4 linked regions of the Arabidopsis thaliana genome follow. The protein of the gene in region 4 purifies or fractionates together with the protein of the main gene of each other region. This does not show direct contact. Each region holds a gene or a part of one and is shown on either strand. Other genes may lie near its edges.

Region 1 (6,450 bases), 4.0 Mb from region 4:
TGACCAAACTATTTTGAGTACCATTGGTAATTCCTTACCTTAAGCTTCCAGAGGTATTAGTGCTATATATTCATAGTGCCACCGAGTATTTTGAACTCCGAAATGATTTCTCACTATCCGACCACTCCCAATTATATAACATGCTTAGAATTATTCGTAAGATGGATCGTAGTTGCATTTTACGACACCATACAGGACAAGTCCATGATAGTTTGAGTTGGTGGATTTTGGAACCCCTGCAAATTTATTTTATACATAACAAAGGCCCCAATCCATTCCTTAGCATCACAACTTGGGACTTCTATCTTTTGAAGGATACATTCACTTGTTGGTTTTGGTAAATATGATTGTTTCTTTACTTCCGAATAAGCAATATATAAAAGTATCTAAAAACGGAAGTAACTTTTGATGATCCTAAAGGTTTTGTAATTGATACATGTCCAAAAACCTCTTAATATTCTTTCTCACAAACTGTTGATGGAGTTAACAAAGGGAGACAAGGTAATTGGGACAATATCAACGTTAGATACAGGACAAGTGAAAAATGTGGGGTTGATGTCTTCAGCTGCAGCATATCACCGTTGGTATATATTGTCAATTATTAGTCCTATGGATTTGAAACGTGTTTTAGTAAATAAGAGTGTCCAAGTGGGACATTTCCAATAACGTATCACAGCTCCTAGAGCTTTTGCTATGTTTCTCTAGGCCTGGGCCGCCTAGCCCACATTCCAAGCAAGGAAATGAATGGAGTTGGGCATCAAAATTTTGGAAGCATTTTTAAGACAAATTATCTTTTAAGTTTCCTTTTTTAAACATAAACTATATTTTAGGCTTTTTTAAGATAAATATTATTTGGATTTTCTTTCACTCATATTTTTGGATTTCAACTTAACAAAACATAGGGCGTGTCTATTTGACTCCACCTACCCACCCTACTGGAGTTCGATCCCACTAAATCGCGTTATCCCGCATAGTAGGGATTGACTATGGATCGGACTTTGTCGATCCAAAGATATCTAAGAAATTCAGAAAAGATTGTATAAAATTCAGAAACGATTTTACGAAATTCATGAAAAATGAGAAATACATGTTTTTTTTAATTTACGTCGGCATTAAAAACGTTGGACCGGCTCTGTGTTTCACCAAAGAAATTGTTTCAGTTTATGCATGATCTTCAACTTCCATATTCTTGTTTTCAATTCTGGAAATCCCTAACAGATCGGAGCTCTCCTCATTCAGTGAGTTGGAAGATTGCATGATTATATAATTACTCTTCACATCCACATATATTACATTATATTCCCCTATAATTTCATACAACCCTAGAAAAGAATCTTCAAGTAATCTAATCGTGTCGATGACTCCACTCATTTGCTAGAAAAGAAAAAACAAACAGACTTCATTTAGCTGAAAACAATCTTTTATTCAACATTACAAAGCACTGATCAAAGAACCTCTAACATGGTAATATATCTATGACATTTTACGTATCCTAAAAGAAAACAAAAAGTGATGTATTGGATGATGTTTTTTTTTTTTACTTTCTAGTTTCTTATTACAACGACAAAAAGAGTCCACGTCGTCACGCACTTTTCCGGTGGTGAAAAAAATGTCCAAATGGATTAAATCTATAATATCTCCAGAGAGATCCTCTCCTTCTATCTTTTTGGGCTCCACTTTTCCTATCTCTTTTTGCCCCTTTCCTCTCTCTGTTCACAAGTCATCTTCTTCCTTCCTCTGAATCTTGTTCCTTTTTGCTCTCTCTACTTGATTCACCCACTCTGTTTCTCGATTAGTACGTTGAAAACTCACTTTGGTTTTGTTTGATTCCTCTTTAGTCTGTTTTTCGATTTCGTTTTCTCTGATTGGTTTGGTGGTGAGATCTCTATCGTAGTTTGTCCTTTGGGTTAAGATATTTCATTTGATTGGTGGGTTTGTTTTATTGAAGCTTATTGTTGTGAAAGTTGGAGTCTTTCTCAGTTTTTAGGTTGAATTATTAAGAGAAAGGGAAGATTTTTGGTGTGAAGTTAGGTTATTTGGGGTTTGAGAAGTTTGCAAGTGAAAAAGGTTGTGAATTGTGAGTGATGAAGAGAGGGAAAGATGAGGAGAAGATATTGGAACCTATGTTTCCTCGGCTTCATGTGAATGATGCAGATAAAGGAGGGCCTAGAGCTCCTCCTAGAAACAAGATGGCTCTTTATGAGCAGCTTAGTATTCCTTCTCAGAGGTTTGGTGATCATGGAACGATGAATTCTCGTAGTAACAACACAAGCACTTTGGTTCATCCTGGACCATCTAGTCAGGTATTGTTTTGATTTTGATCATTGTATAGGCTCTTGATGTTATTAGTTGTATGAGTTTGGATGTTATATAGCCTGAAAGAGAAAGTAGGACATTGGTTGATCTATGTTTCAATTGTTATCAGATCATAGTATCTTCTTTTTGCTTATGGATTGAGCTTTTAGGATTGAATTCTCCTGTATATATGAGAGTCTTGTAGACACAAGTTTATCTAAGTGTGGTTTATTTCTTAAAACTAACATTCTTGTTGTGCCTGATTCTTTTTATGTTCTGAAGTTCGATGAAAGTTTCTTGTGATTGCCCTGAGCATTCAGACTATTGCAAGGACATGAGAAATAATCCTTTTTTACCCTCTTCAATGCAGCCTTGTGGTGTGGAAAGAAACTTATCTGTCCAGCATCTTGATTCTTCAGCCGCAAACCAAGCAACTGAGAAGTTTGTCTCCCAAATGTCCTTCATGGAAAATGTGAGATCTTCGGCACAGCATGATCAGAGGAAAATGGTGAGAGAGGAAGAAGATTTTGCAGTTCCAGTATATATTAACTCAAGAAGATCTCAGTCTCATGGCAGAACCAAGAGTGGTATTGAGAAGGAAAAACACACCCCAATGGTGGCACCTAGCTCTCATCACTCCATTCGATTTCAAGAAGTGAATCAGACAGGCTCAAAGCAAAACGTATGTTTGGCTACTTGTTCAAAACCTGAAGTTAGGGATCAGGTCAAGGCGAATGCAAGGTCAGGTGGCTTTGTAATCTCTTTAGATGTATCAGTCACAGAGGAGATTGATCTCGAAAAATCAGCATCAAGTCATGATAGAGTAAATGATTATAATGCTTCCTTGAGACAAGAGTCTAGAAATCGGTTATACCGAGATGGTGGCAAAACTCGTCTGAAGGACACTGATAATGGAGCTGAATCTCACTTGGCAACGGAAAATCATTCACAAGAGGGTCATGGCAGTCCTGAAGACATTGATAATGATCGTGAATACAGCAAAAGCAGAGCATGCGCCTCTCTGCAGCAGATAAATGAAGAGGCAAGTGATGACGTTTCTGATGATTCGATGGTGGATTCTATATCCAGCATAGATGTCTCTCCCGATGATGTTGTGGGTATATTAGGTCAAAAACGTTTCTGGAGAGCAAGGAAAGCCATTGCCAAGTAAGTTCACTAGAAATTTACAGTTTGGTTATTTATTCTCCGCTCTTTCTATTTATCTCCTTCTTTGATACCAACATTTTTTGCTTGAAAGAAGTTAATATTTAAGCATTGTTCCGTAGTCTTACTGAAGCTTTTTCCTCTGTTGTTTTTTGCTATTTTCATTGAGGACTGTGGTAGGGCATATTTCACTATCACCAAATTTCAAATTTCTAGAACACTCTCCTTCATATTTTTTTTCATGATTAATGCTGCAATTGATTGCTGATATACATATATGACTATAACTCAGTTTCATATTCTGTCTCATTTTGGGAGAAAGAGATTTCAGGTTTATGCTTGAGAAGTGATGGTTCTATAGTTGAGAGGCCCCTGATTCATCTAAAATGGTCCTATTATGTGTTTAGTTGTAGAGTCCTCGGTAGAATATTAACGCGTTTAACACGTTGGATCATGTTATAGCAGGGAGGGACATTCTCTGTTGACCTATATTGTGCAAGGTGCCCGCCGATGGCTTTATTACTATACCTTCTTTGCATCTGGTTGTTGGAACATGTCCCTGTCTCGGTTTGGTATTGCTTTTATTCTGCACTGTCGTCTTGGGCATTTTCCCTACTTGTCATTCAAGGGGTTGAACCAGGTAGGGAAATGTTTTTCCGAGGACCCCAGGATCTAAATTTTAGTTAACCATACGTAAAGTTAGTTTTGAGTCTTATGACGATGCAGAATTATAGTTTCTTCTTACTACTGCTTAAGAGGATCCTTAGTGTGGTTGTGAACTACAGAGTTTTTATGATTGTAGGCTTCATGACTTAACTTTTAAGGTTCAATGTACTCTAATCCATATGGTAAGGTATCGGATTCACGACCAATGCAAATAATAAGATTTTTATTTCTTGCTTCTTGTTAAATATCTGACATCTCATTTTGCAGAGGATAAGCTGCGCTGTAAGCTAGATTTCAATAAGCCCGTCCTTTGCATTGTTATCTATGCTTTAATATGTCATTGGACCCATTGATTTGGTTTTCTTCTATCTTTTTTGATTGGCTATGTATTCTTGTTTCTTTTTTCCTATCTCATTTCGATCGTATTGTTCCATTAGCTGTTCAACCTAAACTATGTCTCTCTTTGTTGAACTTTTGATGGATAATCTTCTTAATGTGACTCTGTTTCTCATTACAGTCAACAAAGAGTATTTGCTGTTCAACTATTTGAGTTGCACAGACTGATTAAGGTAAAGTCATTCAGAAACTTCTCATATGTTTCCATGAGTATTTGTTTCTTCTCGAGCTGAAACAAACCTCTTCAACTGTGTAATAATCAGGTTCAAAAACTTATTGCTGCATCACCGGATCTCTTGCTCGATGAGATCAGTTTTCTTGGAAAAGTTTCTGCTAAAAGCTATCCAGTGAAGAAGCTCCTTCCATCAGAATTTCTGGTAAAGCCTCCTCTACCACATGTTGTCGTCAAACAAAGGGGTGACTCGGAGAAGACTGACCAACATAAAATGGAAAGCTCAGCTGAGAACGTAGTTGGGAGGTTGTCAAATCAAGGTCATCATCAACAATCCAACTACATGCCTTTTGCAAACAACCCACCGGCTTCACCGGCTCCAAATGGATATTGCTTTCCTCCTCAGCCTCCTCCTTCAGGAAATCATCAGCAATGGTTGATCCCTGTAATGTCTCCCTCGGAAGGACTGATATACAAGCCTCACCCAGGTATGGCACACACGGGGCATTATGGAGGATATTATGGTCATTATATGCCTACACCAATGGTAATGCCTCAATATCACCCCGGCATGGGATTCCCACCTCCTGGTAATGGCTACTTCCCTCCATATGGAATGATGCCCACCATAATGAACCCATATTGTTCAAGCCAACAACAACAACAACAACAACCCAATGAGCAAATGAACCAGTTTGGACATCCTGGAAATCTTCAGAACACCCAACAACAACAACAGAGATCTGATAATGAACCTGCTCCACAGCAACAGCAACAGCCAACAAAGTCTTATCCGCGAGCAAGAAAGAGCAGGCAAGGGAGCACAGGAAGCAGTCCAAGTGGGCCACAGGGAATCTCTGGTAGCAAGTCCTTTCGGCCATTCGCAGCCGTTGATGAGGACAGCAACATCAACAATGCACCTGAGCAAACGATGACAACAACCACAACGACGACAAGAACAACTGTTACTCAGACAACAAGAGATGGGGGAGGAGTGACGAGAGTGATAAAGGTGGTACCTCACAACGCAAAGCTCGCGAGTGAGAATGCTGCCAGAATTTTCCAGTCAATACAAGAAGAACGTAAACGCTATGACTCCTCTAAGCCTTAATCCTCTCTATGCGTATTGTACTTGATATGTATTTTACAAAATTAGAAAAATTGTGATAGATGTTATCCTCAATATATGTACCATGTAAACGTATTATGGTGTAAGCCTCATTTATATGTGTTAATTTGTCTTAAAGCCTTGAAATCACTTGAACAACAAAGATTATTTGAAACAACTACTTACAATCACTGTTTCTTTTGTCTGTGACATCAAGAACTTAAGCATCCCATATTTACAACATCTTGTCTACATAGGAAGGAGTATAATTGGTAGTAAGATATTAATGGACATCGATTAATATAGGGCGGAGACGAAGATCAAGCACTGAATCCACGGTCAAGAGAGCTCCAAGGACTGGTAGGGATGGTGGGACAAGCCTGCATTGCTGCCTCCTCCATTTGCCTCATCTGAATCCCTGCGTTGCACATGTTTGCAATCGACCTCATGTGCTTTATTCCGTACTGAGACAACGATCCACAGTGCCTCTCGAAAGCTCTCACCTAACAACCACATAAAGGAGAATAAGAAAGTGATCATCACAAGAAGCTTAATCATCTAATGAGGACTGAAAGTGATTTTTTTCCGACATATCATATCGTATCTAACGTCCTGAGTCTTGCATCCTCTGGCCAATACCATTGTTTAA
Region 2 (2,713 bases), 9.7 Mb from region 4:
CTCAGTCACAGCAGAGCTAATCACTTTAAACCTCTTCATATGCCATTTTAATCCCAAAAAAAACTTATAGGTTTGATAGTTCATGTTTTGATATGAAATTGGCCATTTGTCCCCTTTCAAATAACTATGCTTCTTTTTAGTCCTTTTTGTGCAAAAGCTCTTTCGTCTTCTTAAGATCTTTGCTTTCTAGTGGTATATGAATGCCGAAATAGTTTGCCTGGGTTTTAGATCATGATCTCATGTATCAACATTTATTTTACTGCAGTTTCTGTTTGCTTTTTGATGGAAATGAATATTGTCACAACGTAGAAATTTTCTATGCTAGAGTTCTCTAATACACAGCCTAGTGAAAAGTCACTAGAAAACAACTGTATTTAACATGTCATACCAAATTGCATCACTATGTGACGAAATTACTTACTCCAAGTTGCAACAATCTAACCACAAGCCTTCATTTATTATCAAGGTCACATGAGAAAAGTCTCTAAATAGAATCAAACCAGAAGTAATCTAATACTGTATCAATTATTATTATAATCATTAGAGAGATTGCAGTAGAGACACATTGAAAAAGACTCAAAACCATAACTAAAATAACCCCAATAGAGATGGGTTTGCTCCCACGGATTATTCTAACGACAATCATCATTGCAATACAAAAACTAAACATTTACTTTATATCATAGCTTGAACCGGACAGATTCAAAATTCTCAAACCGGCCGGTCCAACTAAGAAGAAACAATTTGATTCCGGTTCATTAAGCTCTAGTTCCGGCAGCACCACCACCATCGTGACCGTTCTTCCCACCGTGAAAGCCCGACGAGAAACTAGTATTGAGATCAGAATACATGTTAACAACCTTGGAAATGTTTCCGTTGAGTTCTTGAATCAAAGCAACGTTCTTCGACATGTTATCAGCCATTCTCGATTGGTGATTGTCGTTGACTTGTTGAATCAGTGATCTGTTTCTGTCTAAAACTGATTGCACTTGTCTGAAATTCCGGTCAAGATTCTCCCACATCGCCGGATCCTCTCCCTGCTCTGCCTCCTCCGCCACGTTCCTCCGCCGTTTCGTCTCGCCGTTCCTCTTCATAATAATTTTTAATTGTGTTTTTCTCTCTTTTTGATTTTCGTCAAAGTCGAGAGAAATCAGATATTTATAGTAAATATCTTCTGAGTAGAATCGGACACCGAGGCGAGTAAGTTCTGTTTCATCACCACTTGATTAACAAGAGCGTGTATCTCACGTAGACGTATCTATCTGATATCAAAGAACACGCGCGTGAGTGAAGCTGTGAAGTGATTGGGTAGAGGAATAAAAAGTACATATCTTTTTATGCACTTTTCTTGGATTTATTTTTAATTAAACCATGGAGAGAGATAAGGATCTTATTGTAGAAATATCTAAAGATATTTATTGTAAAGTGAATATAAAGTAAAATATGAATAAAATAGGGAAAAAGGTATATGGTGTACGACTTGCCACGGTGCAGCAGGAACCAAATTCCTATACGCATGATCTCATGTTTAATGAATTGTAGTGTTTCACATCTAATTAGTTCCAAGTTTAGATAAACATTACAAAGAGTGTTAGATTCTTTAGAGAACAAACAAGAAGAAGAATCTCTAAGAAACTTTCTTTAGTTAATTCCAAGCTTCATGTTATGCAAGACAAGAGCTACAATAATCCGCAAGATATTTTTTTGTAGTATGATCAGAATTTGGTTCCCGGAACCTGGGCACTAACTACCAAAATCAAAATTCCAAAGAACCATAGTGAAACCATGATTCTCCTCCCAACTTTTTCTTCCATTACAAAGAACAAAACTTTATTTCACTTTTTTTGGCCCTTCCCTTTCGACTGTTATATATGATACAATCATCCTATAATGATAATGATTAAGATGATGAATTGCATAAATGATTCTAAAAATCATGAGTCATGACAATGGTGATGCACAAACAACTCGATGCTGAGAAGCAATAAGAGTATAGGGACCTCAATTCATTTCAGTCACCAATGAGTAATGATGAAAAACATTTAATTTATTTTTGGCAATACAGTTCTTAACCGCAACATTTTCCAAACTGTTTCACAAATGAATCCACTAACTGGAAAAACATGTGCCAGATTTTACTTAGAACGACCTTTTATGACACAATGCAATCTTGCAATAAGAGCTAAATGCGCTAAAACTTAAGCTGGCTTCTCAAAGATAAAGAAGCAGATAGGAAAACCAATAGAAATGGTAATTCTGCAACATCTAAATGGGTTGGTAAGTGGAAAGATTCAGAAGTGGACTCACAATGGCTCTAACTTGAATCCAAGTTCATAGAAGTACGAGTGGTAATCTTTATTACTACCATTCATATTGAATGCTTATTTGGTGAATACCCATAAATGAAGCAATGTCACCTTCTCGAGATATATGGGAATAAGGTTCAAATTCGTCGCAAATGTAATGTTTCTCGACCATTATGCGTTACTTGCGAAAACCATTGTCAAGGTAAAACATTTACGATAGACAACTGCATATTATATGTTATGTGGAATGTGTTTGATTCTTCCTTCAAAAAAACTTGTAATTTCTCTTTTAGTAGACTTATTGATCTGTTAAGGGTTGGCTTTGATGATTTAGAGTGATAAAGATAATTACCGCAGGAAATCATGAGGGGCAGAGAGATAGAAACATGATAGAAATAGGTTACTAG
Region 3 (3,750 bases), 8.7 Mb from region 4:
ATCTTTTTCATGTTGACATGTATGCTTAATTCAAGTGCATTTGTATCTAGTTGGGATTGTATAACATTCATTGGCTCAAAGAGATTGTTTATTCATAATGAACCTAAAGATGAGGAACACACATGTTTTTATGCTGTGCTGCAGGCATTTTCTGGTACGCAAAATGTCTCTAATCAACAGAAGGAGGAAGCTTGGAGAGTCAACGTCCAGATACAGGGTATTGACCTTGAACATGGTTATCTTTGTGGCACCATGGAAGCTCTAAACGTTCCCATGGCAGACACTCCTGTAAGCCCTTACACTCTTACTCATTTTTTCTTCATATTGCTTCCCCTTGAATTTCTAATAGGGGACACGATTCTTGATTCTGTGAGTGTCAGGTCATAACATTCTGGGAAGGGGAAATCGTTGATGGAAAGAATTATACCTTTTACACCGGAAAATGGGAAGCAACGTATGTCCCAATTCCTATATTCTTGTAGATTTGAAACTGATGATTTCTTATCGTGAATAAATTTTTGAAAGTTTGTTTGTCACAGGAGGGAAGATGATATGAGACATTGGTCAAAGTTCCCGTCTTTTTCGCCTCTTCAGGTAACACTCGAGTAACATTGTTTGTATAGTCAGTAACATCTCCTAAGCAACGTTCTGGACTTAATACTGCAGGGACAAGTTGAATCTGATGGTGGCAGGCAATTGGATCTTAACAATTATCCTTATATATTTATGGTATAACTCTCAGTTTTTCCTATCGAATCCAATCATCATTTTCTCTCAAGTATTCCATAATTCCTGCAACTCGGGTTTATTTTTGTGGTGGTGCAGAGATGGAAAGAGCAATACTTTGTAAACGTTGGCACAGATTGTGGACTAACAATAGCTGGATTTTACTACGTATGCTTCTCCTGCAGCGATGGTTCCATCAGCGGTTTCTATTATGATCCAAACAGCAGGTTAGTCCAAGATACAAACTATATAATCTGTTGTTGTTTGAGATAAAACCTGATGATATTTTGTTTCTGGACAGTCCGTTTCAGAAGCTGGAGCTGAAAACAGTTAACGAAGGAAGATCTGGTTTCAGCTTTTCTTCTTACGAGTTGCAATGATGAATGCTACCAAAATCATCAGACAGCGCCATATGATACTCTCGTCTAAACATGCGATGCACGTGATCCAGTACATTATGACGTGTCAATTATTATAAATTATTAGTAAGATATTTTTTTGCTTAGCTAGTAGACCAGACCAAGTAAAGAACTAAAAATACTATTTTGTCATTATGGTACCAAGCTAATAGTTTATCTGGAAAAAGAACAAATTGTCCAAAAAAATAATTACCAAATAGTTGAGAAGTTTTTCTAAAAATTTTTGTAAAAAAAATCCAAATTCTTCTAAAATTAAGTTTTTAATAGAAATTTAAAAAGACAGTTCTACATCATATTATTTTCTTTAAATAATGATATAAAATTTATAAACTATTATCTTTGTAAGATAATGAATATTTATACCTATGTAAGGGAAAAATTGATAAATATTTATACATCCTCATCCAAAAGCCCATAAAATCGTTATGGGACAATAGTAAAAAAGATTGCAAAATCGTATGGAGCGAAAGATAAAAATAAAAAACGGTCCCGTGTAAGAAGATGGGTCACCTCGCCAACACGTAGACTCTTTTCACGCGCCAAATCAAACACCATGTCGACGAGATCAACGGATTCAAATGTTTCGTGTAATACACGCTCCAACGTAGCGCGTCGTACACTTGATGCTTAATTTATGTATTTTAAGTTACGCAGTTTCCAGATTTTCAGACCCTCTGAAAGTGGAAAGAGCATTTTTTAAAAGAGTAATAAGAAAAACAATTATCTTTGAACTCTCTCTATCTCTCTCTCTCTCTCTGCGATCTATGCCTGAAGTGGAAGTGGATAACAACAACGAGAAGCCATCTGAGATTAACAGGTTTCAGTTTCTCAATCTATTCCTATATATTATCATTAGAGATCAAATTTCTTATTATGCTTCTTCTCAGTTTCTTTAAGATACAGAGGATTGACTGATTATGTATGTATTCATGTCAATGGTTGACCAAAAATCATAGCTGCAGAGGATGATTGAAGTTTTATCTTGATTTTAGCTTATTTAATCGTTGAGATTAAGAAAGTTTTCCTGTTATTCTTTCCTAAACCCTTATTAAGTTCAAGATTAATAAAGTCAATTTCATATATTTGGTGATTAAGATCCATCCACTATCTTAATATGTGTTGTTCTTTTTTTTTGCAGTTTCCATCACATGATCATAAGTAGTAGTAAAAATGTGTTGAAAATGGAAGAAGTTGAGGTGAGCAAGAAGAGGAAATTTCAGACAGATCAATCTGATGAGTTATCGTTATTACCTCTGTCAAAACACACTTGTTTTGCCAATGTTGCTTGTTCAGAGAATACAAATGGTAACTCGGAGATTGATACAGAGTATTCAATGTCTTCTTATGTGAACTCAACAACTTCTATGGAGTGTAACAATGATATAGAGATGAAAGAGGAATCATCTGGATCATGCGGTGAAGACAAGATGATCTCTTTCGAAAGCCATCTAGATTACATCTATGGGACTCAGAACTTAGAGGATTTTTCAGAGAAAGTCATTGAAAACATTCTCTATCTCGATGAACAAGAAGAAGAAGAGGAAGATGCTAAAGGATGTAGTAGTAATGCTGCTAAGTTTGTTCTGTCCTCTGGAAGATGGACTGTTAACCAAGGTAAAGAAAACCGGATTTTGGTTTGACCGTATTGATTCAATGAACCGGGGATTCACTAACTTGGTTTCATGTGTACAGATGATTCTACTCTACATGAGACAAAGAAGCCTACCATTGATCAAGAATTTGAACAATACTTCTCAACGCTAATGCTGTAACAAAATGATGTTGAGACTCAAAACATATATGAAGAGATGTATGTACATAGAACTGTACTCGTTCTGTTTTGATTCTTGTCAACCTTAAAAAAACGTTCAATTCAAAGTGATTAGAGAGCTTCTTTGAAATGTTTGCAACTCTAGTCTTCAACTTTTAAGATTTTTATTAGCTTGCAAAACTAATCTTGCTTATATATCTTGTTCTGCCTGGATCAGAAATAAAAGTTAGTATAAAAAAATTCTGAGATGATTATGACACTCTGATCCTTCATATGAACCAATCTTGTGTTCAAGAGTATCCCTGATGTATTTCAGTACCAACTTAACTGAGAAATGAGAGTCAATGTTCTTTAATAAGTTTGTTCAGATGATATCTTCTTCTTTTTTTGGTTGGTCACCTATATTCAATCTGCTCTCTCCAAATTATCTCCAATACACTCTCTTCTGAACATAATACAAAAATTCATAACTTTTTCTTATTATGGTCAAAAGTCTTGTTAATATTCAACTTGTTCCTTTCTAATGTAAAATCTAAACTGATTTAATAAAGAAAAAGATGATAGCTTATTGATATTCTTCCTAGTAAAACATTTTGGCATGATGGTCAAGACTCAAGATTTGCTAGAATGTGGTTCCCTCGCATTATCAGTCTTCTTGGTCAATGTCTAGTAGTTTTAAATTCGCTATAAAAATAGCAAAAAAAAACAAAAACAAAAAATTGTTGATTAAAAAGAAATTAACACCAAACTTTAAAAATAGTTATCCTTAGTAATTTTATGTAAGTATCTTTAACACGTAAAGTCGAACATAGTATATGATTTTGTTCACACTAA
Region 4 (7,674 bases):
CTGCTTGGCCTGCTATTTCGTGGACATAAATATTAATGTCTAAACCCACCCCACTACAGTACTATTTGGACTAAGCCCGTTTGACACCTTTACTAATTATAACCACTAGTGAGTAGTTATATAAGATTATCTTCAATAGTAGTTTCTTAGAATAGTTATAAGAGAAATAGGTATAAAATTTAATGTTTAATTCATATAATTGGTAAGAGATGACTCTTATATAAGAGTCTAAATACATCTTAAGAGCCAGACACGTGTTGTGATATAAGTGGGAGAATGAGAAATATTTGCAAAATTCTGTAATTATGTACTACTAATCGTTTTATGTATGTTTATGTCATGTATGTTTAAACTTTGATATCATGTATGTTTCAAATTTTATGAATTGCAATAATTATTAAAATTTTTAAAAATCAAATGTTTATATATTTTTTAAAAACCTCAACTTAAGAGCTTACGATTGGACATTGCCAAACATTTAAACTTTTATCCAAACTTTTAACTTCAAAACTTTCAAATCAATTATAAAAATATTGCTAAGAATCTTTGCTAAGAATTCACCATTATAGATTCTCTAACAAATCTTGGCATAATCATTATTATTAAAAAAAACTTTTTGTAGAGTTCTTGTTTTTTCCTTTATAATTTACTTTTCTTTCTCTTTTTCTTTTTTTTTGGCAGAATTTAACAATTTTTTAATAAAAATTTAAAAATATAGCACTATATATGTATCAGTTAACTAACATAAAAGATAAATTAAATGACCAATGGAGGAGGTGACGGCTCCGACGATGGTGGCTCCAACGATGGTGGTAAGTTCGGCAACAGTGTGAATCTAGTGAGGACATGCGGTGGATCCGGCGAGTGGTTCTCGCGAGGATGGTGGCTTGGAGGACGGCGATGGTGGTGAGGACACTGGTAGCTCCGGCGAGGGCAGTGGTTCCAATGAAGATGGTGGCTTGGAGTTGGAGGACTGCGGTAGTGGTGATGAAGATGACGGCGGTAGTGGTGGTTCCGCCGATAGCGAAACTGTGGTGGTGATGGTTGTTGTGGTGGTGGTTAATGGTGATAGTAGGGAGGATAAAATTGTCATATTATATATTATACATCAACTCTAATATAAACTTTATTGTATAGGTTAGTTTCCTCATCATTTGCTATTGCAAGTTATTTCTCTCTCTAAAGATTTGATGTAATTTAATGCTTACTTAGCCATTTTGCACGACGCAAATAAACTAATACCGCAAAATTCGTGATTACGCAAATAACATTATCTAAATGGCCAAAAATAACTCATCCCATCTCTTCTTTTTTTTTTTTTTTTGGTCTAAAACTCATTCAATCTCTTCTACACTTGCATTTTCTAATTACTGAACAATAAACTGCTTCATACAACATAATTTTAAATATGTTTCGTTTGAGATAAATTGTTCGACATTACTAAAGATTTTGGCTGATCAAAAAATTTATCAACCTTTACCACGATTCAATTGCCTAGTCATAGGCACGAAGACTCTTGTTTTCGTTTACAAGCATTTGAATGCTAAAAGTACATAGCCGTCTTTGGAGACATGATCTAATAAAAAAAGATCTACGTTGACGTATAGAAAACACATTGATTAAAGAAAGATATCTCTTAAACTTTATGGGCAAGAAGAAGATATTTTTATAACCTGATAGACACACATGGCAAAATTAAAAATATCTAGATATATGTACAGTTAATGTTCTTGATATTATTGTGCCCATTTGCATTAGACATGGCACAAAAATGAACACGTCATTTTTCAACTAAAATAACTTTTCAACTTATTAAAAAATTCGAAGATAACTATAATTCGTCGATGCCTATACGAAATACGAGGTTCTTTTTAACACCTTCTTTGGACAATAGATATTGAGATTTACATCTTCTGCTCTTTCCGACAAAAGCCCATCTCTTCTGTCTTATTTTCTTCTGAAGGTTCTGTTTTTTTTTTTTTTTTTTTTTTTTTTCTCATCCAAATAAGTACTTGAGAGAATTATAAGAAAATTCGTACTTCGTTTCTTTGGACAGTGTACCTCCACGTATTCGTCTCTGGTAATAATCTCCATCACAAATCTCTTTTTTTTTTCTTTTGTGTGACTCTTGTTTCTGGTGGTACAGTTTGCTCATCGATTGAATCGATTTGTATTTCTTCCACACAAGAAAAATGGATTTGTACTTGTTTCTGGATTTTATATATCTGGTGTAATTGTAAGTATAAATTTGTGGAATTAGCTTCTTTTTTTTTTTTTTTTTTTTGGAGAATTTACTGAAAAAGAATGTGATCCTAGTTTATCAAAAAAAGAATAAGAATGTGATCCTCCTCACATTTGTTTGATGAAACTTTTTGTGTTCTTTAGGTTTAATTCTGAGGTTGTGTGAAATTTGGTGAAGAGAATTTTGAGATCATAGTAATTATCCACTTGCTTGATGCTCATGAGCTCTAGTTTAGTATTGTGTTTGTTTTGAATTATGATTGAGATAAAGGATATTTACTTCTCAGGTGATTTAATCAAAGCCTCTGGAGAAGATCTGTAGGTACGTACAAATGTCTGAACATGTTATGGTTTTGGGTAAAGGTAACAAAGGAATCAGCAAGAATTCTTCAGTCAATCCATATGAATCAGCTTGGTTAGGTCGTTGGACTCAGTCAGGTAGTGAAGTGAAGTTTCATGATGGTGAGACCAATTGCTCTAAGCAGTTGATAAGACCTGAAGATGAGAATCATGGAGTCGAGGTCTTGCCGTTTCCTATGTTCAAGGTTTCTCAAAAGAGAGAGACTACTACTACTACTACTACTAAACCGTCTTTCCATGAAGATGTTGGTTCAAGCTCGAGAGCTATGGTTAATAGAATGCCCTGGATGTATCCGCAAGGAGAGAACTTCAGTTCTAGTAACCGTCTTGACTTCCCAATTCAAGAAAAGACTACTCAAAACTTGCTAGAGTTGATAAGACCGGTGAGGATTTACGCAACGGTTGATTCTGTTAACTTGCCTAAAGAAGATAGTCATCAGTTATTGAAGGGGTCTACAGTTTCCATGAAACTGAAAGGGAAGATTTTTGGTGGATATCTTGATCTGTTTCCTAATCAAGATCACTCCCACAATAGAGGAGGAGTAAGGCTGCAGTCTCTAGAAAGCTCAAAGGATACTCAAGAAGATGGACCGAGAAAAAATGAATCATCGGCAGAGACTAATACCTTAGAAATGGATAGACTTCAGACTATACATCTTTCCGGCTCCATTTCTTCGTCATCAACTAAGGTATTGTTCAATCGACATATCTACATATCTTTACTCAAAATGTTGAAAGTTGTGATTGTGAAAGATGTTGAAAATTCCGCAGGGAAAAGGAATAAAAGGCTACTCAGCCATTCCAAGGACCGAAATACCTGACATGAATGAAGAACCACCTCTTGTTCCGGATAGAGAGAATTCAGTAGATGGACATCAGGGAGAAACAAGCAACTCGGCTACTCAAAGTATGAATGTGGAACACTTTCTGTCCAGAGATTGCAAACGTGTGCGGTTGGAACCAGAAGTAGAAGCCAGCAGTAGATGGGTCAAGCGTCTGAAGACAAGCCCCTCAGATTCCAGTGAAACCAAGAGCATGATGAAGATGAAAGAAGCATCACTGGGAGAAAAAGAGAACAATAATCTATTCCTTGAGATCTTGAAGTCCGGAATCAACAATCTCCAACCGAGAAATCAAGAACCCGTCGTTTCACAGAGCAATGATCTGAGACAAGGAGGAGATGACATTACACTTCTGCATCCATGGATCCAGAGGTGGTGCAAGAAGAAAACTACATCAACAGATCAACCAACAGGGCAAGAAGCTAGCTTTGAGCCAGAGAGTCACAAGGAGTTCGAGAAGAAACAGTATCCGAGTATTGCAGCCATGGCATTGATGGGGAAGGCTCTGAGCGGTTTAAACCCATATGGTCTTAGAAAGACCAACTCTCTCATGGTTTGGAATGCAAGGGATTTGAGGTAGGAAAACAAAACCATCATCCTCATCTTCCCTTGTTTATCATTACAACGTAAAGTCAAGAACATCAAACAGAACTAGCTAGCAGGCTTGCTACGATCAAATATTTTGACAGGTTCTACCTTATATGTCAGTCTGACTATTCTTATAATAGTTTCAGTTTATGTATGAATACCTTGTTTGCATCATAAATATTCCCTTTTAATCGTTACCGCATCAGTATTTTGATTTGTTACTGGCCTTACAAAAATGATAGCATAATTCAAAGTGGTAAGTAAATCTGTTCTCTCGAAAATCTTGATTCAAGGGAAAAAGAGTAACATTTAACATTAAGTCAAGCAAGTAGCCCTAGTGTTAATCTGCTGACTTGAGTGAGTAGAAACCATCCTTATCGTGCCTTTCACCATCAAATCTCTTATCGCCTTTCTAGCAAGCGACCCATTGATCTACGACAGAAACCAATACAACATTTTACACATGATCAAATTCTTGAGCACAATAAAATTTCTCTTTCAATAACTCGATAATCTTGAACCTATCCCAACACATTATAAAGAGCTAATTCAGTGAAAAGAGTGGAGGTAGAGAGTTAGTTAGTTTACCCGAAGACGGTCAGAGAGAATCGAAGGAGTGATCAATTTGAACTTAGGAGCTTCAGACATAAGCTTGTCGTAAGTTGCTTGATCGAACAGAACCATGTTGTTCACCTTCTCCTTTTGCTTTCCTTTGCTCCACTTCTGTTGAAATCAAGAAATGAGAAACGTAAATAAAACAAAACCCACCAGAAACCAAATCAAAGAAACTTACTGATCAAGTAAAAAAAAAAGTGATTGTGATTTGGTAAAGGACCTTCTTTTTCTGCTTTCCGCCACCGGATTTGGCGGGTTTAGAGGATGGTGGTGGGACTTTGTCCTTCTTTGGTGCCTGGAATCAGTCAGAGAAACCACACACGAAATCTGTATGCGACGAATAAAATCAACCATCCGAAATACCTAAAACCTATATAAGCCAAATATTTTTATTTTTATTTTGGTAAGGTTTGTTCGATTTTTTTTTGGTAGGGTCTTGTTCAATTTTATGTAGTAAAATATATTTTTAAATTGTATATTAACTTTATGTTTTATTATATTCCAAACTGGGTTATAACTTATAATTAAATGTAAAAATTTAAATATTTGTGAAATGGAGAAAAGTAAAAATTTATCATGACAGACGTCTTCATTTCCCTTAATCTTAATCTTAACATAGTAAAAATCTCTTTCTTCAATTTATCTATATATAAGATTTTACTTTAGTTATGTTTTAAAATAATAATATACTCTTAATTGGGTTATAAATGTGAAATCTATATATTTTTAAAAGGGAGCAAAATCAAATCTTATTGTGATAAATATATATTTCTTCATTATATATCCTTAACTTTTAATTCTTCAGTTTTACATACAGATCTTTACGGTGGAATTTAACGATGGCAGATTGGCCCTTACTTCCGAATGACTTACTAGAACTAATCATGGGTCATCTTGAGACATCTTTCGAGATTTTCCTCTTCCGTTCCGTCTGCAGCTCATGGCGGTCTGTTGTACCTCCACTAGATCATTCCCGCTGCTTAGGTATCAAAACTCATGATATATCGTTCAATGTCGGCTTTTCGTTCAACGGCCGACCAACGAATGAATATTGCACACTAAAAAAGATTCCAATATATCTCGTGAAATTCTGGACTCCGTTTGGTGATGATTATCTATTGGCAGAGATGCGTGAACGAAATGATGGGGAACCGAAGTTATTGTTGTCGCCCTTGTCATCTAATGGTATCAAGTATGGAATGGGAATAAATAAAGTGTTGTTCAACTCTCTTACCTCACCAATTATCCCATTTGGACAATACTACGAGGTTGGTGTTCAAAAGCTCATATTAGTTTTTGAAACTTTTATCTTTTCTTTTTGATAATCATTTAACCACCACTTTTTAGTTAGTAGGGTGCTTGAGATTGTTACTTATTTCATTGTCTAACTGATTTTGAGGTAAATCAGCTAATGTTTGGAATTCTTTGTGGTATTAATCACGATTCTGTAAATAAATATATACAAGTCACACTATTCATAACTAAGATATATAGGATTTAAACTGATATCAAACCCATCGTATTAGCAGCATGTAATCTTATCTCTAATAAATTCTCTCTAACCTTGCTAATTAATAAATAAGACCGCAAAGTTGGTCCTGTTATTATTATCATTATTTTCCTTGTGTCTTCAATTTAGCCCCATAATCTTCGATGCAGATAACCTACATTGAGAAGCGACCCAGTGAATACCGCTTTGGATTTCCCTATAAACTAGAGTGGGTGGAGATTACCGAGAGAGTTGAATTTCTTAAACTGGATAGTGAAGATAGCAGAGATTTTGCGGTGCTTTTTGCTGGAAGAATGTGCAATTTGGTGATGTATAGAAGCCGTAACATGAGTTGGACTCAAGTTGTGGAGCATCCTGAAAAGTATGCATATCAAGATTTGGTTGCATTCAAAGGAAAGTTTTATGCTGTTGATTCAAGTGGAAGGGGACGGGTCTTTGTTGTCGAACTTTCTTTCGAAGTTACGGAGATCCCCTCAGTCGGAGGATCGCAACAGTCTTCTAAAGAAAGTCTGGTGCAGTCAGGCGAGGAGTTGTTGCTAGTGCAACGGTTCACACCTGTTGGGCGGCGTTATGATGAATATATATATATACATGGTTCAGAGTGTTTAGACTTGATGAAGAAAGAGGAAAGAGAAAGTGGGTTCAAGTTAATGACTTGAACGACCGAGTGATCTTTCTTGGAGCTCAGACGAATCTCTGCTGCTCAGTACATAAGCTCCCAGGTGCAAAGGAGAATTGCATTGTGTTCATTGAATCAAATGATTGTTTCATCATTGACAATGACTCAGTCCTTTTGTTTGACTTAAAAACCAGAAGAACTAGTACTGCGTTTAATGAATGCAAAGGCTACATGGGCGTGTTCGGCGCAAATCTTGAATCTTTATTGTCTTGTGGACTTGTGACCATTCGAGACCCAACGAAAAGCTTTGATTTCTGTTATGATTATAAATATTAGTCTTTTTTTTCTTCTGGATTCCAATATGACAAAACATCTATTAATATATGTTTCGAAACGCTATTATTATATTTAATATATATTATTTGTATAGTTTTCTGATTATATTCTACCAAACAAGGTGCGGTAATCGTCTAGTTTTCATGTTATTTGGGAATCATTCATTGCAATGACAAATTTTTTGTAAGAGCATTGATCAGGTCATACGAAAAAAGCTCCTTTTATTCTGATGCATACAACTTTTTTTGTATTCTGATGCATACACACGTACACAAAAACACATACAAACATGAAGTGATGAAACATAGATAACTTTTTTTATGATAAAAATGAAGATGGCCAATTGCTACATTCATAATAACAGGTGCACGTACGGAATCCATATAGTCCCACGCAACGACCATAATCGTTAGGCCCGACGTATGCCTTCCTACAGTACGCTTTGCAATTATCACATGGTACACCCTTGTTCTCGCGTTGGCACATATAAGAACCTTAAACCCACGGAAGAAAAGAACAAAAAAAAATTTGTTAGACATTTTACAATTTGTTCAAGCGTCACC

What was found.
Region 1: the proteins of AT2G16365 (region 4) and ELF3 purify together in Arabidopsis thaliana (affinity purification with mass spectrometry; 2 studies listed by BioGRID). This does not show direct contact.
Region 2: the proteins of AT2G16365 (region 4) and ELF4 purify together in Arabidopsis thaliana (affinity purification with mass spectrometry; 2 studies listed by BioGRID). This does not show direct contact.
Region 3: the proteins of AT2G16365 (region 4) and FHY1 purify together in Arabidopsis thaliana (affinity purification with mass spectrometry, with the first as the bait; one study listed by BioGRID). This does not show direct contact.

The regions. Positions count from the first base shown.
Region 1 is NC_003071.7:11,057,375-11,063,824, forward strand, and holds ELF3 (hydroxyproline-rich glycoprotein family protein), read left to right. Parts: upstream 1-1,569; 5' UTR 1,570-2,084; coding exon 2,085-2,303; intron 2,304-2,503; exon of another isoform or gene 2,504-2,665; coding exon 2,666-3,462; intron 3,463-4,642; coding exon 4,643-4,694; intron 4,695-4,784; coding exon 4,785-5,804; 3' UTR 5,805-5,950; downstream 5,951-6,450. Other genes in the region: ALPHA-VPE (alpha-vacuolar processing enzyme), read right to left, coding at 6,122-6,304. UniProt on the Arabidopsis thaliana protein: May be a transcription factor part of a circadian clock input pathway. Acts within a 'zeitnehmer' feedback loop and is involved in its own circadian regulation. Has no role in regulating circadian clock function in the dark.
Region 2 is NC_003071.7:16,733,787-16,736,499, forward strand, and holds ELF4 (EARLY FLOWERING-like protein (DUF1313)), read right to left. Parts: upstream 1,127-2,713; 5' UTR 1,095-1,126; coding exon 759-1,094; 3' UTR 508-758; downstream 1-507. UniProt on the Arabidopsis thaliana protein: Component of the central CCA1/LHY-TOC1 feedback loop in the circadian clock that promotes clock accuracy and is required for sustained rhythms in the absence of daily light/dark cycles.
Region 3 is NC_003071.7:15,800,856-15,804,605, reverse strand, and holds FHY1 (far-red elongated hypocotyl 1), read left to right. Parts: upstream 1-1,812; 5' UTR 1,813-1,909; coding exon 1,910-1,962; intron 1,963-2,283; coding exon 2,284-2,759; coding exon of another isoform or gene 2,760-2,785; exon of another isoform or gene 2,786-2,837; coding exon 2,838-2,917; 3' UTR 2,918-3,188; downstream 3,189-3,750. Other genes in the region: AT2G37680 (glucose-induced degradation-like protein), read left to right, coding at 145-288, 381-454, 540-594, 667-729, 826-953, 1,028-1,106. UniProt on the Arabidopsis thaliana protein: Key regulator of far red / red (FR/R) spectrum-specific responses essential for the adaption to changing light conditions (e.g. de-etiolation), essentially by regulating PHYA shuttling from the cytoplasm to the nucleus and by directly regulating the expression of some target genes, depending on light conditions and phosphorylation status.
Region 4 is NC_003071.7:7,072,367-7,080,040, forward strand, and holds AT2G16365 (F-box family protein), read left to right. Parts: upstream 1-1,995; 5' UTR 1,996-2,080; exon of another isoform or gene 2,081-2,236; intron 2,237-2,285; exon of another isoform or gene 2,286-2,528; 5' UTR 2,529-2,573; coding exon 2,574-3,290; intron 3,291-3,372; coding exon 3,373-4,019; coding exon of another isoform or gene 4,020-4,023; exon of another isoform or gene 4,024-4,283; intron 4,284-4,346; coding exon of another isoform or gene 4,347-4,463; intron 4,464-4,619; coding exon of another isoform or gene 4,620-4,754; intron 4,755-4,866; coding exon of another isoform or gene 4,867-4,944; intron 4,945-5,451; coding exon 5,452-5,914; intron 5,915-6,305; coding exon 6,306-6,815; 3' UTR 6,816-7,153; downstream 7,154-7,674. Other genes in the region: AT2G16340 (uncharacterized protein), read left to right, coding at 768-812, 879-1,118. UniProt on the Arabidopsis thaliana protein: Together with PCHL, regulates growth and development adaptation to the ambient environment by controlling negatively phytochrome B (phyB) dark reversion, a temperature-dependent thermal relaxation process during which phyB reverts from the active to the inactive state.